Oryzias latipes: one gene and its partner. The protein of the gene in region 1 binds, or shares a complex with, the protein of each later gene. Links are inferred from orthologs where the notes say so. Each region holds a gene or a part of one and is shown in the gene's direction. Other genes may lie near its edges. The genes, in order: hcrtr2 and hcrt.

Evidence for each region.
Region 2: the proteins of hcrtr2 (region 1) and hcrt are in contact, whole or in part, in a cryo-EM structure (PDB 7L1U), measured with the Homo sapiens proteins. The link is inferred for Oryzias latipes from reciprocal best matches to the Homo sapiens genes HCRTR2 and HCRT. Residues at the interface, in NP_001371201.1 of Homo sapiens: Thr111, Val114, Trp120, Pro131, Gln134, Thr135, Val138, Gln187, Val209, Cys210, Asp211, Phe227, Thr231, Ile320, Ser321, Asn324, Lys327, Arg328, Phe333, Ala334, Thr336, Arg339, Val342, Tyr343, Phe346, His350, Tyr354; in NP_001515.1 of Homo sapiens: Asn89, His90, Ala91, Ala92, Gly93, Ile94, Leu95, Thr96, Met97.

Annotation. Positions count from the first base shown.
Region 1 is NC_019873.2:24,232,421-24,236,244, forward strand, and holds part of hcrtr2 (orexin receptor type 2), read left to right. Parts: intron 1-2,736; coding exon 2,737-2,980; intron 2,981-3,588; coding exon 3,589-3,704; intron 3,705-3,824. UniProt on the Homo sapiens protein: Nonselective, high-affinity receptor for both orexin-A and orexin-B neuropeptides. Triggers an increase in cytoplasmic Ca(2+) levels in response to orexin-A binding.
Region 2 is NC_019866.2:6,190,460-6,194,774, reverse strand, and holds hcrt (orexin), read left to right. Parts: upstream 1-1,255; 5' UTR 1,256-1,346; coding exon 1,347-1,400; intron 1,401-3,022; coding exon 3,023-3,388; 3' UTR 3,389-3,704; downstream 3,705-4,315. UniProt on the Homo sapiens protein: Neuropeptides that play a significant role in the regulation of food intake and sleep-wakefulness, possibly by coordinating the complex behavioral and physiologic responses of these complementary homeostatic functions.

The DNA of each region.
Region 1 (3,824 bases):
TTTAAGCTGCAAAAGCTTAATTTTAAATGTTTAACCTAAAGCTTCGGGTCTCAAAGTTACAGTAAGTGCACACATTGCTGGAAATGGACAGTGAAAATGGAAAATGTTTTGTGCTCATAGCTTAAAAATGACAAAAAAGAAAAAGAAGGAAGAATTAGGAATGAACTAATTTATAAAATGTGCCTTTTTGTCCCTTTTCTTTTAAAGATAAAACAAAGCAAAAAAGTAAAATGGGTCTCTCTTATTGTATTGTGATTTATCTGCTTAATGATTGTCCAAAGTTTCAGCCAAGTGGACATTAAAATTCAAGTCATCTACAACATCCTCAAATTGGAAAATTGTCTCATATGGGAATCTTCCTGTTCCACGACAGGCCTGATGTTGTTCTGGTTTCAAACATCGTGCTTCTTTAAAGTATTTTTCACAGCGAGACAGCTGTGCAATGTAGATAACGCTGAGAGTCTGTGCTCTGAGAAAACAGTTACATGGAAAAACTGTTGCTGATCTTCATGTCTGTCCCAGACTGCCAGAAACTGGCTCATCTGCATGCAGACTTACAGTAGAGTGTGTCATCAGCAATTTCTAAAAACCATTTACCAGTTGTTAAACAGACTGACTGGAACACATTAGTGTGCTGGAAGGTTCCATTGACGCCTCCAGTTAGTGACAGACAAAAATTATGTTAGAAAGAATATTTCTTTGCTTATTTAAATTTTGAAACATTAAAACTAGGAAATTGTTGATTTCTTGTCTTTACCAATTTAATTTTCTTTGTCAATTTATTTTTCAGATGATCTGGTCATTTTTTTTTTTTTTGTGTATCCATTAAACATTGTAAACAAATATGGAGTAGGAGGTCACATTTGTTGTTTTTTCATACAAACGGTCCTGTTTATGAGTGTCTAGACTTGGATCAAAGTTTAAATAAAATACTCAAAGGCGGAAAGTTTTTCTCTTAACCCTTGTGCTATCCTGGGTATTTTAACATTGGGAGTTGGGTCATCTAGACCCACTAGACAGTGCGCGGATCCTTTTTTCTTCAATGATTTGCGATCTTCACTGGTGTCCATGGATTACATGAAATCTTTCCACCTTTATCCATCATTGTTATGGTAGAGAGAACACGTCAATGTAAAGGTGGGTCATCTAAGATAGCACAAGGGTTAAATGTGTAACTTCACTTGTTGTTCCACTAACTTTAGCTACCCAGCTTTTTCAATTGCACCTAAACACTGACATTTCAAGCTTTGTTGGTTTATTCAATGCTTTAAATGAGGAAAATGATAGTAATAAGCACTATAATAGTCTTCTCGATCTTTGCAAGGACTATTGCAGGTGTAAGGGTCTTTGCATCATCACATATTGTAATTAATCATGAGCTCAGCTCATGAGTCTCTTAGGCAAAATTTGAAATTAACATCATTGCATTTTAGATTATTATGCCCCATATAATGAGATTCTTGTCAGCATACATTTCTTATATGAATGCAGAAATAAAATTAACATTGGACAGACAATTGTATGCATTTATGCAAAAATTATCACACAAACATCATCAAAAAGATGAGTATATTTACCTCAAAGGAAAAAAATCAAACACAGTGCCAGACTGCAGGAGATCTTTGAATTTAAGGTATAACACGCCAGGAAAAAGTTTGTGGACATTGCAGCTCATTTCAATTATATCTTTTTGACAACATGTATTTCTTTATTTTCAGGATATATTTAAAGACTATTTGGTTGTTTTGACTTAAGCAGAAAGAGTTTAATACCAGAGGACAAACGTTTTACTCACAGAGATTATTTCATCCCTAATTCCAATTATAAATATTGAATAGATTACAGGTTCAGGGTTCTAAGACTGTGATTCTTAGTGTTTGTTTTACAAATGTGTCAAATCTCATTTCAGTTAGGAACCACCTGACCAGTGCAAAGCAATTTTGTGCGTCTTTTTTTGAGATAATTTAAAGCTTTTCATACACAGAAAAATCTTAGGCAGTCTTAAAACGCAATTACAATTTCCAGTAAAAAAAAAAAAAAAAAACTTGAATCAATAAAATAAAATAAAACTGCGAAACAACTTACTTTTGGTTGAAAAACCACAAAACGCACTGAAACGTTTGTTTAAATTCTAAAACCTTCCAACTTTATGCAGAGGGTTAATCTTAAACCGATAATAAAAAGTCATTGAAATAATTGAAAACATTTATAGGCAAATGTTGTGCAGATGATATTTTCAAAACAATCATGACTCCATTGTAATTTTCAACATGGCATTGACAGTAACTGACTAACCAAGTGAAAGTTTGTATTAAACTAAGCATTTTTTTGGTGTGAAGCCCATTGAGACAATTGTGTTGTAAAATTGGGCTGTATAAATAAAATTGAATTGGACTGAGCCCTGGAGCTCCTTAGGCTTATGCTAGGCTTTTAACCATCAATTTGTTTTTCCACAAAATGAAAAAGGGTCATGCTCTACTAAACTGTGTTTGTGAGACAAACTTTGACGTCATCCATAACTTTAAATAAGTCTATGGTTTCACCTTAAAATTATTTAATGAGCCCATTTATTTTACATCAAACAGTTAAATGTATTTATTTAGTGACAATCTTATCTGGGAAAGAATATCCAAAGAAGAAACACTGGCATCTACTTTGGTTGCATAAAAAAATTGTGTTCCCAGAATGATCATGTTTCTGTTGAGCAGGTTTTTTTTTTTTATGTCTCCTCTACAGACTATCTCTGTTTGCGTGTCAGTTCTGACACTGAGCTGCATCGCCCAGGACCGTTGGTATGCGATCTGTCACCCGCTCATGTTCAAGAGCACAGCCAGGAGGGCTCGCAAGAGTATTGTTGCCATCTGGGTTGTGTCGTGCATAATCATGATTCCTCAGGCCATTGTGATGGAGTGCAGCAGTCTGCTGCCTGAACTTACAAACAAGACCAGGCTGTTCACAGTGTGCGATGAACACTGGGGAGGTAAGTGGTCTCAGAGGTTTTCTAAATGTGTCAAAGCATTTTGATTTTTCACTCTTTTAGAGGCCACACTGTGTGCACTGGAAATTACCTGAAAGGCATGTCAAATCACATTTTTTTTTCTTTATTCAAACGGTTCACACAGCCAATTATTTTGTCTCTCATAGTTGAGGTATAGCTATAATAAAAAATTACAGACCTCTTTCATCTTTTTAAGTGGAAGAACTTGCACAATTGCCTGACTAAATACCCCCCCCCCCCCCCCACACTGTATGCGTTATTTGCACTGTTTATTCACACTTCTTCCCGTTTTTAACATGGTTTATCCGTAATTTATCTGTTAAAATTTCAGGTAAAGAATGACAACTTTTCTCATTTTTCCATGTTTATTCATTTTTGACCAATTTTCACCACTTAAATTCAGCTTCCAAAAAGAAACAGAAAGGAATGTTGAAAACAGGGCCTCTCATGCTTCACCTGTAATCCAAATACAGATGCCAATTAATCTTTATTGTCTGAGTCTTTATCTATCTCTACTTTGCAAGGCTGACAAACATCAATTAACCACCCACCTCTGTGTATTGAGTTGTCAACTGTTCTTCTTTTCCCAGATGAGATCTACCCAAAGATTTATCACACCTGCTTCTTCATTGTTACCTACTTTGCACCTTTGTGCCTCATGGTTCTGGCGTATATTCAAATATGCCACAAGCTCTGGTGCCAGCAGGTGCGTACATCAAAGTTACCTGTTTCATTACAAAGAGGCTCATCAGGTACCTTTACTGTCCACAACAATCAACTCAGCTTTTCCTACATTTGATCTGACTGTGTACAATCTAACATAAGT
Region 2 (4,315 bases), on another chromosome or scaffold:
CTCTCACCAGAGACTGGACACCTGAAGGGGGGAAAATAAAGTATGACCCTGGCAACCATCAAAAGGAACAGACATGAAGAGGAGCGGCCCCGGCGATCCTCCACAGGAATGTACATGAAGAGTAGCGCCTCAGACAACTCTCCTCTGGAACAGGAAACATGGCCAAGGGGGAGAAACAGTGGCCATCCTCTGGGACAGGGAACATGAAGAGTGGCCCCGGCGACCTTCCTCAGGAATAGACATGAAGAGGAGCGGCCCCAGCGATCCTCCATAGAAAACAGAAAGGAGTGTTCACGGTGACCCTGCACAGGTCTTTCTGTCAATGCAGGAGACCAGGCATGGTGACAGACAAAGGGCAACTTAGAACATGACCAAAAACAACATGAAAAAACCAAACTAAACAGAACCCTTATAAGCTCAAGTACAAAATCGAGCTGCTCTGAAAATGATGTAACTTCACACTAAGACTGACCTTTACACACAAACATGCTAACCAGCCTTTTAGAACATATTGAAAGCAACCTTCACGCTCAATCTAAAGAAATCGATACGGTTTTATAAAAGCATATTGATTTCCTCTGAAGTGCTGTGGTACTCAGTTAGTTGATCTTGATTTAAAAGGATTTCTTTATTGATCTGGGCCTTTTATTCTATCATGACTGATTGTGTTTATTGAAAGCAGTGCATATTAATGTCCATGAGATGGCAACAAATATTAGATAAATGATAGTGAAGATTCAAGAGTTCAACAGTCGGTTGTTGCTTTTTAAGGAAATGTGATGTTTTAACCAAAAATCATTAAATCAAAGATTTAATTTGGACTAAAAAGTTTAATAAAACATCACTTTTTGTTAATTTTAGCTGCAAATGCTAAAAATAAGTCAATTGTTTTGTCAATTCTGTTGCGTCACTATGATACATTGTTTAAAACAAATATGACCCCTCATTAGTATGCCCTTCAAACATGTTTGTCATCAGAAAAGTCAAAGATAATAATGTGTTTTTCTTTCTACGTTTCTGTGTTGTATCTTTGAATCAGCAAACACATTAGCTAATTGACTGGAGTCTCTCTGCACTCATTGTGCTGGAATCTCCTAATAAACCCTACAAAGACATTTCTGCACTTCTTCAAAAACGTCCTGGAGATGTTCTGAAACACGAGTCTAATTAACGGCTGCAAGCTTGACGGCGCACTTTCAATGAGATATTAAAAAAAAGTACGTTTTTGTCATGACCACGGCCGGTTTGAGGAATGATGATGTGGACCACACAGAACTATATAAAAGACCTCCGTTTGCTCCATGAAGTGATAAGAAAACTAGACTACCTTTAACACCAGACAGAAGATGTGGGACCCCTCAAACGTCTACAGAGCAGCTGGAATGGAGACGTCCAACAGGGTAAAACATTTCGTTTTCTTCTTTATCACTAATATTTGTACTTTTAGTACTGTGTGTAAGACTTTATTCCTGAAAGCTTCTTTAGGCCAATGGCTTTAGTTCAGAGTAGTTACAGCATGAACACACCATCAAGCATGTAGACAGATGTATCACGCGTTAACAAAAATCTATTAAATGTTTGTTTTTTTCCATCTCTTTTTGTGTAAATTAATGTTACTTAAGAACTCCAAATACACACTATGCTCCACCAATATTAATGCTGTTGGCTGATATCGCAATCATAAAAATATATGATCTCTGTTTAACCAGGAATTTAGCTAAAGCTCTTTGGTCAAAAGTTCGACAAACAGAAGGCATTTCTTTGCTAGTGCAGACTGCAAAAAGAGGTAGCCCAAAAAAAGGACAAAAGAAACACGAAAAAGTTGTAAAATAATCTGTATATGCAACAAGTAACTTTACTAAACAAGAAATCCTATAGTAAGATATAAAAATCTAGAAACCAAGAGTTCCACAAAGCCTTTAAAAGGGAAAAATAAGATAAAAAAGCTAACTGTTAGAATTACTTCAAATCGAATGTTAACAGACCAATAATAAGTCTTCTAAACAAATGATTTGATTTTGTTTTGAGTTTTTATCTACCTAATTGTAGTTCATTTCGATTGCAGTGCCAAAAATAGTGTAATAAGTGGAAATTACTCATTTTAGAACAGAATGCGAACATGTACAAGTTGGCCCATCTTAATAAAGTCTCATGAAATCTAAAACTAGCACTTATTCTTAGAAAATAAAGAATAATGACAATGAATGTTGGTCTATCTTTGCTTCATTTATTGAACTTTTTCTTAAAATTGAACCAAACTGAACTCTCCAGTTTACGTTTTTTTTTTTATTCTCAAATCAAGTTTTTCTATTGTCAAGAGTTAGGAGCAAAAGTTTTCTTGTGTCTGTTTTGAAGCTATTAATGAAAAAAACAAAATTTTCGTAACTGATTTTGAAAAAAAGACTGGAAAGGTTGAAAAACCAAAATAAGTTAGAACAACTGAAAAACCCGGTAGAATATATTAAATGTCTAACAAAGTTAATATTATTATGTTCACCAAGATTAAAGCAGGTTGTGGGACAAACTTAAAGAAAAACATTTTATTAATTAATTGAACAACCATCTTAGCAAAAGTTTGCAATCCTTTACAATCATTTTACTTTATGTTATATTTTAATTGCATTCTTTTTTTAAATTGTCTTCTCTGAGCCAGCCACCAAACATGTGCCGAAACAAATAAGTCTAGAAGTCTTCAAATTTAAATAATTTTCTTCAAATAAGCTAAATAAATCTGCCAATGGGGAATGAAAAATGGTCTGATCAAGAATTCTTATGAAAATTTCTATCATGTTTTCTTAAGATTCTTTTGCTATTGAAAAACTGTATTGATAAAATTATTTTTCTTATAAGACAGAAAAGACAATTTTTCTCAAAATAAAGACCTTTCTTAGAATTCCGTTTTTGCAGTGGAAATGCCACCGAGTACTTAATAAAATGCCGGCTGTCAGATAGGAAGTATCTTAAATGGAAGTTTCCTTTGGATGACTTTTTGCTCGGAATGTCTGATTGTTTTGCTGAGCAGAAATCCCTGGCCCTCGTGTTGATGCTGCTCCTGTCTCAAGCGGACTGTGACCCTCACAGTGTGGCCGAGTGCTGCAGAAAACCGTCTCGGTCCTGTCCCCTTTACGCGCTGTTCTGTGGCTCTGGCAATAAGAGTTTTGGTGGAGCCCGTGCAGGAGATGCTGCTGCTGGGATCCTCACTCTGGGAAAGCGGAACGAGGAGGAGCATCGCCTGGAAAGTCGACTCCAGCAACTTCTTCACAGCTCCAGGAACCAAGCAGCAGGAATCCTGACCATGGGGAAGAGGACTGAGGAGATGGCAGGGGAGGAGTACATGAAGTGGTTGGCCCTGTCTAAAACCACTATCGTGACACCTTTTCCTTTCTAAAATAAATGATACTAGGACAGGTATTTAAAAAAACTGAAGAGGTCACTGTCACTTCTTTTCTTCTGGACAGACTCTTTCCTTTATTTTCTTACATTTTTCTTTTACAAGGCGATGTCGGAAAGCTCCACAAATGTGTCTCAAAAGGTTTGGTGACTCAATAAAAATCATTGTGCTGACTGTAAATCATTTGAGTTTGTGTGATTAAGGAAGGAAAATACTTTTCTTCTATAATTATAGACTGGAGATTAAATCAAAAAGTCATTGTAAATCTGAAGTGTGTGAAATATCTCGATCAATGAAGTAAAAGGCTTCTTCTCTTAAACCAGAAAGTAGTGACTGAACCACTCACACTATGTATATATATATATATACATGTGTATATGTATCTCCTACAAAAAAGCAAGAATTCTGTCCCTCACAGGCCTGTTATTCCTTCTTTAACCCGTACGAAACCCTAGTGGCATCAATGTAAGAGAAAAATATCCAAAATGTGTCCTATGGTCCATTTGGTCTTTGGTATATTCCACATAATTTTAAATGTAAGTTAAAACTGATTTCTATAGTTTAAGAAGTTATTTTATCCTCCACTCATTACCAGTATTAATACCACCTGTTTGAATAGGTTATCTGTATAAGAGACACCTGTCCACACACATAAACAGTCAGACAGCAACCTCTTCACCACTACCAAAGAGCTGCCTGAGGACACCAGGGACAAGATTGTAGCCACAGAAGAGGACGAGAATGTAGCCCTCTTTTGCTGAGAAGAGATCAACTGTTGGAGCAAAAAAGTGGCAATCTGCTGGAGCTCCATGAAAGATCTCACCTGGCGGGGTACAAAATGATCCTAAGAACTGTGAGAAAACAGTCTAAAACTACATAAGGGAATTGGCCAACGACCTGAAGTGTCTTGGTCTCGTCTAAAGT